Regions from separate parts of the Mus musculus genome. Here region 1 is reported to be linked to region 2. Evidence: microRNA targets listed by miRTarBase, many of them from high-throughput screens and not tested one by one. Region 2 holds a microRNA gene; the other region holds the end of a gene's coding sequence.

Region 1 (7,119 bases), not on the chromosome of region 2:
TGGGGAGAATTAGGTAAAAAAAAAAAACACAAAAAAAAACAAAAACAAAAAATCCTTATTGCCCTGTGTTGGAGGCCAATCTGCACTCTTTAGCGAGTTCTAAGACAGCTTGGGATCAAGGCTTAGACCCTTTTTCAGAAAAGAGAAGGTGCATGGAGGAAGGCAAGGGAAGGGAAGGGAAGGGAAGGGAAGGGAAGGGAAGGGAAGGGAAGGGAAGGGAAGGGAAGGGAAGGGAAGGGAAGGGAAGGGGATAGAAAAAGAAAACAGACACAATTCCTGGATGATGCATGCACAGCCTTTGCAAGATAGTTGAGCTGATAACCTTTTTTTTTCCCTTAGAAATTGAAAGGACTTAGGATATTAAGCTACATGTTTTGAGAAGTTGCCTATTTCATTATCATCTATATGCATATATACAGTCACAAATGAGTGGTACCTCTGTGTATGTTTTCTCTCCAGGCTTTACCTATTTCTACAAAGGAAAGGAGTATTGGAAATTCAACAATCAGATACTCAAAGTAGAACCTGGTTATCCAAGATCCATCCTCAAGGACTTTATGGGCTGTGATGGACCAACAGACCGAGATAAAGAAGGACTCAGCCCACCAGATGATGTAGACATTGTCATCAAACTGGACAACACAGCCAGCACTGTGAAAGCCATAGCTATTGTCATTCCCTGCATCTTGGCCTTATGCCTCCTTGTATTGGTTTACACTGTGTTCCAGTTCAAGAGGAAAGGAACACCCCGCCACATACTGTACTGTAAACGCTCTATGCAAGAGTGGGTGTGATGTAGGGATTTCTTTTTTCTTTCTTTTCTGGGAGTTTGTGGTAACTTGAGATTCAAGACAAGAGCTGTTATGCTGTTTCCTAGCTAGGAGCAGGCTTGTGGCAGCCTGATGGAGGCTGACCTTCCAAACCTAGATGGTTGCTGGTCCTGCACATGAGTGGAAATATAATCATGGAGAAGCTTCCGTGATGCACAGTATCTGCTGTTCTCCAGTCCTCTGTCTTTCTTTGTCATTCAGTTCTAGGCCTTTCCTCTGCACGCTCAATGCCCAGTAAAATTTCAGGATTAACTGAAGAAGAGGAAATATAGAAGAAAAGTTTCTTCTTAATTTTTTAAAAAATACATTTCCTTCTGAAATCTGAGCCCATTTCTGGGAAAGAGAAAGAAAGAGAGAGAAAGAGAGAGAGAGAGAGAAAGAAAAACAAAAAGAGCAAATCAAAAAACCCATAGGTTTTTGCTTTAAGGCAAAAGAAGAAAGAGTTTAAAAAACAACAAAATCCACTATTGAACTTTCAGGAAAGTGTGAAGATCCAAAACAGCTTTGTCTCCAAAGAAGATAGCTCTGTGACCACTATGGATAGTCTCCTGCACATCGTTTTGTCAGGTGGGAGATCTGGAACACATGCAGGATGCTAGACTGTTGGGACAGTCATTTTCCAACAAACAAGGGGCCAAAATATCTGCAATATAGTAACAGCCTTAATAATACATGCATTTTTCGTTTTCTACAGCTGTTCTCAACTATGTCCACAATGTATCATCACCTCCATACTCATAGCTGTGTTCAAACAGGACCTTTCGGTTGTTTTGAAATATTTCTGAACCCCCTCCTGCCTCCTGACCCAGAATCATTGTGATGTTCTTCCCAGTTGTGTTAGGCCTTTGTCCCAGGCCGTCCATTGGTCTGTCAGCAATACTCCGCGCAAAGCAGAGCAAGAAGTATTGTGTCTCTGAAGGAAAGAAGGTGATGGTTATTTTATAAGGATCTGTTACTCTTTAATACATCAGTGGAACCCTTTGAGAACTATCGGACCAGCTTACAGAGTCAGGATGATCAGTCTTGCAATCTGGTCATTTGTAGAACTGGCCAAAAGGGAAAGCCATCACAGGTTTCGAGAAGTTCAGATTTGTAAAGCATACCTTACAATCCCATGTAACTCTTTAATGACTGACAGTACTGCATAAATGCTTTTATAACAACGATGATGTGACTTGCCAAAACTTTTCTGGCAAATAAAAAAGATATTTTGTTAACAGTATCTCATGAGAGTGAAATTTTATTTGAATAATTGGTTAGAAAAGTCTAAGCTTTTTCTTCTTCAGACATATTGATTTTTTTTTTATTTAAAATCCACTGCATGAAATCTGTTTGCCATAAAATATGCAGTTAGCATTGCTTGGTTAAGACTGAATTAAAATGATGACTCTGAGTTGCATGAATACCTACCAATGCATTACCTATCGCATGTCAGCCATAGTTCTCAAAGGGTTGGTGTGGCTTCTGGCATTTAGCCATCTATTTGATCACTGACAAAGCCAAGAGACACCAAAGCATCCCATTGTTGAGTGTAATTTGTCCTAACAGCAGTATTGTCATTCTCATGTGACCTGCAGAGCAGGATCATATCAATATTTTTTTCCTAGAGAAAAGTCAGCAACTGACAGACCTCTTTATTGATTTTAGAAGCTGCTTCTTGCAGTGAATGGCTTTGCAGCCACTGGGCTGTGAACTTATTAGAGATGGTCAGAAGGAAAGCACCCCATGAGTCAGACAATTGGCTTTGTGTGAAAGCCAGCTTTTGAGGGGATTAGCTTTTGAAACAATGAACAGCTTGCCTTGAACTTGATATTGATCTGTTGACTGTCATTAACAACAACTTAAACACTGTCTTCTGTGAAAATGTTCCTTGAAGAGCCCTGTTCTGTGTCTTTGCCCTTTGACCTTTAACTTGCAAACTGGCACAAACTGAAGGAAATCTGGTGTCACTTCTCCACTGGATTGTGATTCTCTAAAACCTAGTAAATGAGCTGTTTCCTTCGAGTGGAGAGAGAGTTTCAGTAGTGGATCTGCAGGTGGCGCTTTGCTCTCTACATGCACACTCTGAATATGCCCTATAGGTAGAGGTATTTTTTTTCTTTAATTTCAAGCTTAATTTCATTATTTTAGTAAAAATTACAAAAAAATAGGAAAAAAAAAAACCTCAAATACTTGAATGGCCAGTGTGGCTTTTATATAAAGCAGGAATTTTATACTAGTGAAAATTTCTTACTCATTTGCTAATAATACACATTTCCAGATGATTTTTAATGAGTGTAGGTATACATTCTTATTTGGAAATGGATAGTTTGGCTGCCTTGAATTTATATTTATACTCAACATAGCATGAAAGTTAGAATGCCTTTGGTTCAACTACATGTTTATGATTTGGTTGGGGACATTTTTAATCATGGGTGGCATGCTGAAAAGCCTGGCAGAATGGTGTTTCCTACAATCCGAGCATATTTTGTAAAACTAAGAAAAAGAAACAGGAAAGAGAAATGGATTCATGGCTTCATAGTACCACATTATGCAATGCAGACTGTACTTCAACAAGACATTCATGATTTTGAATGTGAGGGTAAATAACACAGGGAGGGCAAGGATCGGCGCTGTAGCTCTACTTCAGTACTTCCTTTCTAGGTGATGAGAATATTATAGTTAGTTATGACAGAGCATGGAGGACTGTATACATAAGCCTGTTTATACAGTGTTTGCTTGTTAGAGGGTTTAATCCTTTCAGGACCTTGATGTCAAGAAAAAATAAAAAATGACTGGAAGCATTTTCTTTTTCTAATAATAGAAGTGAGTAACTGTAACCTTTTTGGGACATGTGCAAATCATCGAGGAACTCTATCAACATGCACTGAACTTTTTTTTTCTCTCAAAAATCAAAAAGAAAATCAATAAGCAATTTATTGCCTCTTTATTCATTCATCACACTACCCTGATTCATCTCAAGACTGTAAGTACCTAAGGGCTAGAAAATAATCATAGCATTGAAAATGGATGAGTCTTTATTATGCTTCAATTCTGGTAAATATCATGGATATGATTTGGGTTTTGTTGCCTTGAATGTGGGAAGTCTATGTACTGAAAGTGGCTTCTATGTCTACTATCTTGATTGGGACCACTATAAGATCGTAAGTGATAAGAAATAAGGAGAATGTGATCAAAAGCATTGGGCTTCCTTTGTTCACCATATGCCAGACACTTCATTCATATGATTGCTGACTTTTCATATGGTTGGAATTTGTATTTTAAAATGAGGTAATGCTAGAGAAATCACGAAAATGATCGGTGATGAAAATAGCAATTAAACTTTTTTTAAATGAAGCTATTTGGATTAAGACCATAATGTCAGCTTAATATCAGTGAAAGTCAACCAATCAAGTTTTTTCTGTAACCTCTAAATGAGTAACATATAAAGGTCACCCCTACTGTTTCCAAAAGTGAAATGAAAACATATTTGTATTCATAAAGTAATTCATCTCTTTCACTATTTTCATTACTTTAACAAATATGAAGGCAACTGTAAACCAGGTAATAGATTTTACATAAAATAATTTTCAAGTTTACAATTTCAGGTAAATACTGTTTGTCTGTATATTATTAATCAGACTAAGTGAAATACTAAGATAGGTTATCAGTTTGAATTCTTTATAAAGCAGTAATTCCACATCAGTTCGGTAGATAAAGTTTTGATTTTAGGTAATCGTTAACTCATCTGAGAACAAAGTTTCTGCAGAGATGGTTATAACAGCAGGTGAAAACAGATGTTCATTGCCATGGCAAGGTTATAGGGCTCAATCAGTATACAATAGATGCTCCTAACAAATACAGCTTTTGTTACTAATCAGTTAACAAGGCTTTTCTGAATCACATGTAATAAGTTACCTAGTAATGATCACTAAGAGGCAATTACTAAGTAATAAAAAATAGAGACAAATTTACTGACATAAGAAAACATTACCTTTATTACTCAAGCTGCCTACAATCTCTTTCATCAGCACATAATTTGGCTCTTCAAAGTCTGTACATGTAATTTTATTTCATTTCTGTGAATTAACCAAATAGAATGCAATGCAGTGGCTAAGAATATTGACCAGGTCTACTGCTCATTGTGATATCTGGATGAAGGTGTATATACTGGGTTCTAGGAAGTATAATGTAATATTCTCAAGTTCTCCATGTTGTATTTATATTCTAATTACGGCACAAATTCAGACTCCTCTCATGTGGGTCTTACAATTGATAAACTGGTGTGCCCATATTAATTGAACTCAATGTGCTATTTGAAGAGGAATAGAATAGATGTTAATACTTGAATAGATATGTTAAACAAAAGTCATGAAAATAATCATTTTCTTTTTTAGGTACTTGGTATTTATTTCCCAAAACAAATAAAGGCAGTGATTTGCTGATAGTTTTGACCCTGTGAGATTGTAGCATATAATTCAATAAGCCTGGGGATGGCAAGGAAGTGTTTACAGTAATCGCAGCCAAATGTTTAAGCTTTGATACCATAAGAGCATATTCCAAGCTGTCAAAGACACAGCATACCATTTAAATCACAAGTGTGACTATCACAAAGAGCTGTAAATACAATCTCCACTAATCTATGATACCAATGAAGAGGTCTAGCAACTTATTGGTATAATCTGACTATTCCTTATAATGTCAGTGATTTCCACAATACTGACACATAACAAGTACAGTAAACAAGTGCTAGAGGCTAGTAGTCTAAATGGCAGTTTTTCTATTGCCTAAGAAGAAAGTTTAAATGAGTCTCTTCTAAAGGTTGAACTTAGTAATAAAGAAACGAACAATCGAGGAGAATACCACACTGTTGATATGAAAGCAACATTTTATAAGTAGAGTGGGCAGGGAAAAAGGATAAAATGAATCTTTTGTAAAACACAAAGTCATGCTCTAGCACTCTGTAATATTACAACTGAAAGATTAACTACAGCAAGGATGAAAAAAAGCAGAGAAATTGAAACTTCAAGCTCCTCACACCAGGAATGAGTACATAATTTACCAATGTATATACTTAGTCAGTGCCCATTAGATGTCACCTGTGTAAACACATCTAATACTCATCCATTGCCTCATAGACCCATTATATTAAAAGTTAAAAGCATTCACTCAGTAACCGCAGTCAGAATGATGTTAGAACCCTGTGGGGGAAAAAAAAGCCATTCCCTAGGATAGAAATTTACCTCAGTAATCATATTATATAAAACACTTGGCATAGTAGCAAAGGTTGCCTTAGTGTTCCAGTCTGATCTAACAGTAGACTCAGTCCACTCACATCATTTCTTGTGTCTTACTATTGGTGTAAGCTTGAGTTGATTTTGAAATATTTCTGGTCATATCAAAAACATCTAATTATCAATGTCTTCTTCACTATGTCTACCCTGAAATATGATCCAACAGTATAGAAAGCCTAGAATGACACAGTCACAGAAATTCAGGAAAAAAAATCACTGGTTGTATTTCATGATTCCCACCAATTTTTTGGTAAAAATCAAGAAGTAGCAGTTTTCAATGTCTAAATACAGCTATTGACTGGTAACAGAACATGACATGCACCAATTCTTTAAAATGAATTAAGTTGTTCTAAGTAGTGATAAAGGAGTATGAGGAGTTTAGTGCTGTAACAAAAGCTTCACTGGCATTTGTAATGAATGCTTTTTAAGGGAAATAGGGCAGAATCAATAACTTGTGATCAGTACATCATAAGCATAAATAACTATATATGGAGGGCATTTATATGTGGAGAGATCTGAGATTCTATGTCTTTCAACTATAAAAGAAGTAAGTCTTTGTTATAATATAAGACTTTTCTTATATTAGCATAGAATGAATTATTTTATTCAGATGTGAGGTCTATGTGTCATTCCATGAAAGGGCACACTGGGCCCTTGAGGAATACACATAACAAGCTAGAGTGTTGTGCTGATTCTCATGACGCGTCCATGTGCTCTGCCACAGAGCTATATATGTATGCCCTTAAGAAGGGAAAAAATTATCAATTATAAATATAACTCTTTCCAATTAGGCCACTTAGCTTCAAAGTAAATATCACTAATATTTTTTTTCTCAATGAGGAAATGGAAAGATAGAATTCTGAGAAAGAATAAAATATAAAACAACAAAAAGGAAAAACATTTTGGCCAACAAAGACATTTTTACCGTTTCTTTCACCTGTTTTGCTCATTAAAAGAAAATTCCATAGGGACTTCTTTGTAGCACTTGACAGGAAGCTAGATTGGCTCCCAGGATT
Region 2 (7,119 bases):
AGAAGAACAAGGGAACCATGGATGGAGCTTGAGGCTGTTTAGGGTCATCTCTGGGAGAAGCTTGGGTGGTAGGGTGTCACAGGAAGGAGGCAGCTGGCTCTAGCAAGGAGAGGCTCCAGGCCAAATCTCTGGAGCAGCAAAGACATCCAAAAAAATACAATCTCTGAGCCATTGTGGCAGAGAGGCCAGATGCTGGGCTTCAAGGGGAGAGAGACCCTCTTTGAATCTTCTTCATATTGGGGGTGTGTGATAGGTTCTTAAGGGGGTCTGGAGTTTGAGGGTCTGGCTTTCAGTCAAGGGAGGTCAGAGGTAGGTTAAGTAGGCACAGACATAGGGGTGCACCTCAGGAGCCTCCAGGAGCAATACTGGCTGGTCACGGGAAAGGCTTGGCATTTTGAGGAAGGTATTTTGAGGTCCCTGTTTAGAAAAGCCCACACCCTGCTGCCTGCCTTCACCTCAGCTGTTGAGGAAGTGGGCAGGTTAAAAGACAGAAAGGAAGATACTGTCCAATCGGCCATGTGTGTTTGAGGGGAGGTGTGGAGGCCTCTGTACCCTCTGGGTACAGGGAACTGGCTCCATCTGTGGTAACCCAAAGCTGGGTCTCCTTGTGAACAGCCCTTCAAGCCTCCAGACAATAGGAAGATCAGCTTAATCAAAGCTTGAGCCCAAGGAAGGGATGGGAGAGAAAAGCTGCCAGGGGGAAGAGGCACCTGGAATCAGCCTGGGCTGTGGCTAGAGATTCTGTGTCCTAATTACAGCCCAGAGGGGGATGAAAGGGAGCGTTGCTGCCAGGCTGAATGGCAGGCCAAGTGGCTGCATCTGCTTTGCTCCACCAGCCCCAGGCTCCCAGCCTCAGGATCTGGGCAAGGTCCTGGTCGCAGGACAAGGGTATCTGCACCCTACTGTGAGTGAGGGTGTGAATTGTCCTTCTCGGAACCCCTTATCTCATAAGCGGAGTAACTACCGACAGGGAATAGAAGCACGGAGTCGAGGCAAGTGGAGTTCATGGAGTGGATGCCTGCCAGCAGGCGCAACAGCACTCCTGTACTGTGCATGTAGATCTGCATGCACAAGTAACATGCCAGCCTTGGGGGCGGCCTCATAAGCTGACTGTGGGAGAAAATGCAAGGTAGGTTTCAGTGGGCTCTAGGGCACATGTGGATAGTTTCTGTAGATTCAGATATGGGAACTCAGCGCAGGATTTTTGTCCCTCTGTGGTGATTTATGAAAATAGGAGTATGAAAAATGGAGTCTCCAACCTTTGGTGGAGATGTCTAAGTGCTGGCCGTCCCCCTGGATGCTTGCTTTTCTAAGTTACTGTAGGCACCCTTAGGACTCAGGTTTCAAACCACAACTTGGAGACCAAGGAACTTCTGAGCTAGGTGAACTGCTGAAGACAAAAAAATGCCGGGTGGGCAGTTCTCAGCACCATGGCCAGGGCCTGTCAGCAACCATGGGTTTTCTAGCTCTAGATCCACTGCCAGCTCTTTCTTGGGACTTAGGGACAGTAGGCTAGAGGCAAGAGATTGATATAGGAGGAAGTGTAGCGAACTTAGACCCGGCCCAGAGTACAGTGTGAAGATGAAAAGACAATCAGAGCCAAAGTCAGCTGGGTCCTCCGTGGGTAGGCTCAGCCCCAAACAATGTGTCCCTGCTGGGTCTGACCTGGAGGCTTCCCATCCTGTACATGGGTGTGGCTGCTAGCTCAAGGAGACTACCTACTGCCCTGTCCCACCAGAACATCCTCCAAAGGGCAAGCAATGGATGACCCAAGGCCCACACTCACTGTGGCCTCCTTCCTGAGAGAGAGCTGATAACACCTTCATGCACCCGGACACTGGAGACAGAGCCCACTCCAGCATGGTGTAGGAACCTCTGCCTGGCTGGCCTCACCTGCTTTGGCAAGGGACATGGTTTCCTAAAGGACAACAGAAATGTGGCTTTGGTGGCACTAACCTGCCTTACCTGAACAGAAAGCAAAATCAAGCTTTTTAGTCTTTCTCCCAGACTCCTAACCAGCCCTAGGCTCTCAGGCCAGGGCTCCAGCGTGCTATAACCATGAACCTCACAGCCGAGGAGCCATTTTGTGCAGCGTCCTGCTTAAATCACACTCTGAGAACGCTCCTTCTCTCTTTCCCCTCTCTCCTGCTCCCCACTCCCCCTCTTTCTTCTCCCTCCCCCTCTTTCAGGTGAATCGTGCTTGCACAGTTCCCTCTGCCTCTTCAGTTCCACCCATCCAAGCTCAGGGTGGCCCAGAAGGACTAGAGCGCAGGAGGCCGCCCACACTGACAGACACACAGCTAAATGGAAGAGGGTGTAGATTCCAGAGGCTGTAGGAGGAGAAGAAAGGGACACCTCCTAATTATGAAAAATCCTTTAGAATTAACCAGGCAGGCCCAAATTCGAGGTTCCTTCCTGGGCCTTGCTGTCGGTAGGTCGGCCCCTCTGTTTCTCTGATGCTTTTCAGTCTAGCCTGTGTCCTTTTTCTGAGACAAGGATTTGTCTGTGAGGTGGCATTTGGAAAGAGGTGTGTAACTGCTAGCTGGCTTGCTCACTGGCTGACAGGGATGGCAGTGGGGATGCAGCCCACCTTGGATTTGGGGTCAAGATAAAAAATAGGACGAATCTAAAACAAGCACGGGGTACAGAGGTGTGGTGCCAAAGCCTGGTATTAAACAAAAAAAATCCAGATGTGTCATTTAAGGGAGACTGCTTTAGATACCTTTAGAAAAATTCCCTGATCCCTTCCAAATCACCCACTTTGGGCCTATTCTTTGAACCCAGCCTTATGGGATTTGCTGATGGAGAGTGTGTAAGGGGTGCCCCCCCCCCCGCCTCACCAAAACAGATCTGAATGAGTACCCCCACCAAATCTGGGCTGCTTTGGGGATGCCTTAGCACAGAGAGTCTTTGGGACTCCCTCATAGTCACTGCTGGAATCCTGGAACCCGCTACCCCCCACCCCCACTCTATTGTTAAGTCAATCTCTAGATCTTGGATTTAAGATCTTTCTAGGGATGACTGGGGGGGGGGGAAGGAGATATCGAATTTTTCATATTTAATCCTTTGCCTCCCAGGAATGGGTGAAGGGGGTGAATCAGGGCTCATAGTGGGAGGGGTGTACAGGAGCAAGGAAGACAGGATGGGTTTCAGGTGAGCAACCTCTAAACCACCACGTTTAGGAGACTGAGACGGGACTTCAGTTTGGTGGCCAGGCTCAATTCTACTGTGAAACCTCAAAATGTCAATTCTTTTGCCCTGTAAAGTCACTTGGAGTAAGTGGGCTAGGGTGTGCTGTGAGCAGAAAGATGGCAGGAGCTGATTATTTTTATGGGAGGTGAATAGGAGCCCAATTACGGCCTTGGATATCTTTAAGGCGCAGGGGCACAATTGATTACATATCCTTGGCTGTACTAGGAATGGTCAGAGGGAAAGGGCTAACAATCTGGTGCCGACATTTAGGACCTGGTTTGAGCGAAGCATGCCATGGGAATCCCTACAAGTCAGGCAATATATATGGGATACATTGATCTAGACACCCACTCCTTCCCTTAATCCCCAGTCTCTACCGCGGTGTCTGTACAGTGCTGGGCAAGAAAAAAAAGGAAGAGAGACCTTAAGGATAAAGTGACCGGTTCGCAGCCTCTCCTGCGCTCACTTGGTTGCCTTGGAGAGACCTCGACCTTAAACCTCTTCCCTCAAACTCTAACTCTGGTGGTCTGCGGTGGCTGCCAGGCACCTAAGACGTTGCTGGGAGGTCAGAGAGGTTTGAGAGAAAGGCCAGACTGTGTGCATCCAAGCAAGCAGGCCTAAGGCTTCTGAGGGCAGAAGAGGCGCTCCCCTGTCCTCGCGGCGCAGAAGCCGTGAACGCCGAGGCCATTGTAAGGCTGGGTGGTGCCGAGCGCGGGAAGGGGGCTGGGATTTGAATGGAAGCCCGTGATAGGCCGATCCCCCGACTGACGTCACTTCCCCGCGGGGCGATTAGCCTGCGAGAGGAGGGCTGATGGTCCAGTGCGCTGGGGGCCGCCAGGGCGCCCGAGGCTGCCCAAGCGCAGAGCGCCGGTTACCCGAGTGCGCCCCGGGACGGCGTCGAAGCGGGCCGCGCACGCACTGGACGGGGAACTGGGGATGGAGAAATCGCGAGGGCGAGGGAGGAAGGGAGCTGGGCGATCCGGGTGGCGGGAGTCCGTGTGTCTGTGTGTCTGTCGGTCCCCTCTGGCTCTCCGCGTGCGCCCGGGGCTGCGGGAGCGGAGTCCGCTCAGGCCCCCGCGCCGGGTCGGCGGCGGCACGTGGGGCCCACAGCGCGGCAGCGGTGCCGGCGAATGGGAGGCCCGTTTCTCTCTTTGGTTATCTAGCTGTATGAGTGCCACAGAGCCGTCATAAAGCTAGATAACCGAAAGTAGAAATGACTCTCACAACTTCTGCGTGCGATGGCCCGGCCGGCCGCCCTGGCCACAGGAGCCAGAGGAGCCCAGAGAAGCCCACGCCACCCAGGGATTCCAGCTCGACGGAGCGGCCACGCCGGGACCAGGTATCCGACCTCGGCTCTCCTGGGGACACTTGCCGTGTCCTGGAGGCATTCCCTTCACCTCCTCCTCGGTCCCTGCACCCCCATCACCATTTCCCAGCGCCGAGGCTGGAACCCCGAAGTGGAGTGGGTTGGGGGCAGGGAACGGGCTGGGGTTGCAGAGGGGTCGCTGGCGGGGAAGGCGCCAGCCTTTGCCTTCACCCCATAAATCAGGCTAGAACAATCCACGCCCTGAGCTGCAGACTAGGATTTTGGGATGCAAATGCGATGAGAAAGAGAACGGAGAGAGGAAGGGAGAGAGGAAGGGAGAGAGAGAGGAAGGGGGAGAGAGAGAGAGAGAGAGAGAGAGAGAGAGAGAGAGAGAGAGAGAGAGAGAGAGGAGAGAGAGAGAGAGACCGGTAGGCAGTGTGTAGGGGGAGTAAAAGGGTGGGCAGGGGGCTGCCCTGCCGCTAACAATGCAGCCTTTATCGAATTATTCGACGAGTCAGCCCCTGAGCACCATTAGCATACGGCTGGGGGGTTGCTGGAGCTTCGCCCCTCGGTGAGGTCAAGTTCTTGATAATTTGATCACTTTTCACCGGCTCTGGCAGCTGCCTTTGTGTGCAGTTGGGGGGTCTGTGTGCAGCGTGAAGCGGAGCAGAACTGGCGGGGAGTGTACTCAATGGCAAGGGGCCTAGGCGGGGGGCCTCCCGCCCCGACCGACCGGCCCTGCCCTGCATACAAACCAAGAGCAGGCTGCTGGGCGGGAGAGACGTAGCCCAGATCCTCTAAACCTCTATAGTTCTGGTCGGACGGCTGGGGCCGGAGCCTCCCCAACTTCCCCAACTGGTTAAGGGGGAAGCCAGGCTCTCTGGAGCTCCTCTCCTTCCCGCCCCAATAAATGGCAACATAAGATGTATTACAATGTCTAGCAAATAAAAAAGCAATTGGGGGAAAAAATCTGAATTCCGTTCCCATGGCAACCCAATGCTGCACACCGGCCACTCAAGCTCCAGGTCCCTCTTAGCTGGGCGCTGCGAGTGGGGCGTGCCAATGTTCTGTGTCCGTGGTTCTTAGCCCCACAAGGAGCGGAAGGTCCCTTTGAGGTTTCTCTGCCTTCAGGTCCCTCTCCTTCCTGCCACTCCCTTTACTCTTTCCTTATCTTGAAGTTTGGGGCCCCCTGCAACTTAGGAAACCATTAGGGCTCCCGCGTGGTGGATGTAGACCCAGCTATGGACCCTATCAAGTGTAGGGAAGAAAGGATCCAAAGTCAGTTCACATACCTTAAGGCTTGGGGTCTTTTGGGGTTCTTTAAGGCACATATCAGTGTATACATGCTTTAGCAGATTGACTGGGAAGGATTAGTGCTACCATCCTGACTTGACCCGCTTTCTTTTCCTTGAACATATTAAGGAAGCAGATCTGGGGGGTGAGGGCCTACTCCTTAGGGAGTAGCACACACAGCGCAGAAGTGCAGAGGTGGGCACTACCTAGGTCACCTTACCTCCATCTTGGCCCAGTTCAATCCCAAGAGCCTCTTGCCTTAGTTATTTATAAGATTGGTCTCTCAGCCTCTATCCAGAACCTGCCCAGCCCCCTTGTGATAATAGAAATCTTTTTCCATCTTTGTGCCTACCAGCCGTTCCTCCCCCCCCCCCACACCCTTTGCTTAGCAAAATTATCTTAACAACAAAAAGGTGACTTGTGTAAAAGTAAAAATAAATTCAGTGATACAAAGGAGAACCTCCTGGGTCTGGGGAGGGGCAAGGTGTGGCTTCCATACGGTAGATGGAGAGTTTTTCACTGCATTGCCTTGGAATGTTAGACAAAATTAAACGCGGTGGCAGGAAAGCAGCTGTCTCTGTGCCTCCTTCTCAGGGACTCATTGGGTGGAAGGAAGGGGTTCGAGGTCCTTTCATCTTTTCCTTCCCGTTTCTTAGGCCTGTGAAGGGTCACTCGCGTGTTTGAGGACCCAGGAGCCTCCCTCCCCCCAACTGCATCTACTGGGCTTGCTCCCCCTTCCTGGTGCACCTGGGAGCCTGTGTGCTGGTGGTGACCTCATTTCTGAGGAAAGCAGAGCAGCTCTCTCAGCCTGCTTGCCCAGCACTCCCTGCCTCCACGTCTCACGGATGGGCTGGGGCTTCCCCAGAGCCTGCCCCGGTACTCAGAGCCTTCTCTTCCCTGGCCCCTCTCCTTTGCTATTTTTGTAAGAGCCAGTCCTTCCTACACCAAGGTGGTCACATAGCTTCACGACTGTGTCTTAGGTGTAGTTCAAATGTGTGTCGCCTTTGGTTCTTTTGCCGTCCAGGCAGGCTGGAGTCCCCCCATTAGGAGTCCCATGGAGGTAGAGTCCTAGCCTGAGACAGTGCAGGACTTTTACTGCTTTCTATGAAGGGGGAAATCTGCTGATACAAACCTTGCACTTTAGGGAAAAGATGAGGGCCTCAAGGGAGGAGGTGGTGGTGGTGGTGATGGAATGGGTCTGCTGATTCTGATTCACAGAGTTTATCTCACACCCACCACAAAAGGTTTTCAGGGGTGCCAGCCCATCCATTTTATCCTAACAGAGAGATGTTCAAATCCCACCCAGGACCCTTGGAGCCCGAGACACA

Evidence for each region. The annotated mature microRNA mmu-miR-9-5p reads UCUUUGGUUAUCUAGCUGUAUGA and lies in region 2 at 4,341-4,363, shown strand. An mRNA with a match to its seed (bases 2 to 7 or 8) in the 3' UTR can be bound and repressed. Matches are read on the target gene's strand: a 7mer-m8 pairs with bases 2 to 8, a 7mer-A1 pairs with bases 2 to 7 and ends in A, and an 8mer does both.
Region 1: the mRNA of Mmp16 is a reported target of mmu-miR-9-5p. Seed matches in the 3' UTR shown: 7mer-A1 at 1,341-1,347.

What each region holds. Positions count from the first base shown.
Region 1 is chr4:18,115,428-18,122,546 of GRCm38, forward strand. Mmp16 (matrix metallopeptidase 16) reads left to right here. Exons shown (of 11, transcript NM_001379519.1): 11 at 460-2,052. The coding sequence ends at 794. Among named protein-coding and RNA genes, the nearest start is that of Mmp16, 270 kb to the left of the region's middle.
Region 2 is chr7:79,500,939-79,508,057 of GRCm38, forward strand. Mir9-3 (microRNA 9-3) reads left to right here and starts at 4,326; the gene lies at 4,326-4,415. All of the region lies in intron 1 of Mir9-3hg (Mir9-3 host gene), which reads left to right. It overlaps Gm51285 (predicted gene, 51285), which reads right to left and starts at 4,398; the gene lies at 4,341-4,398.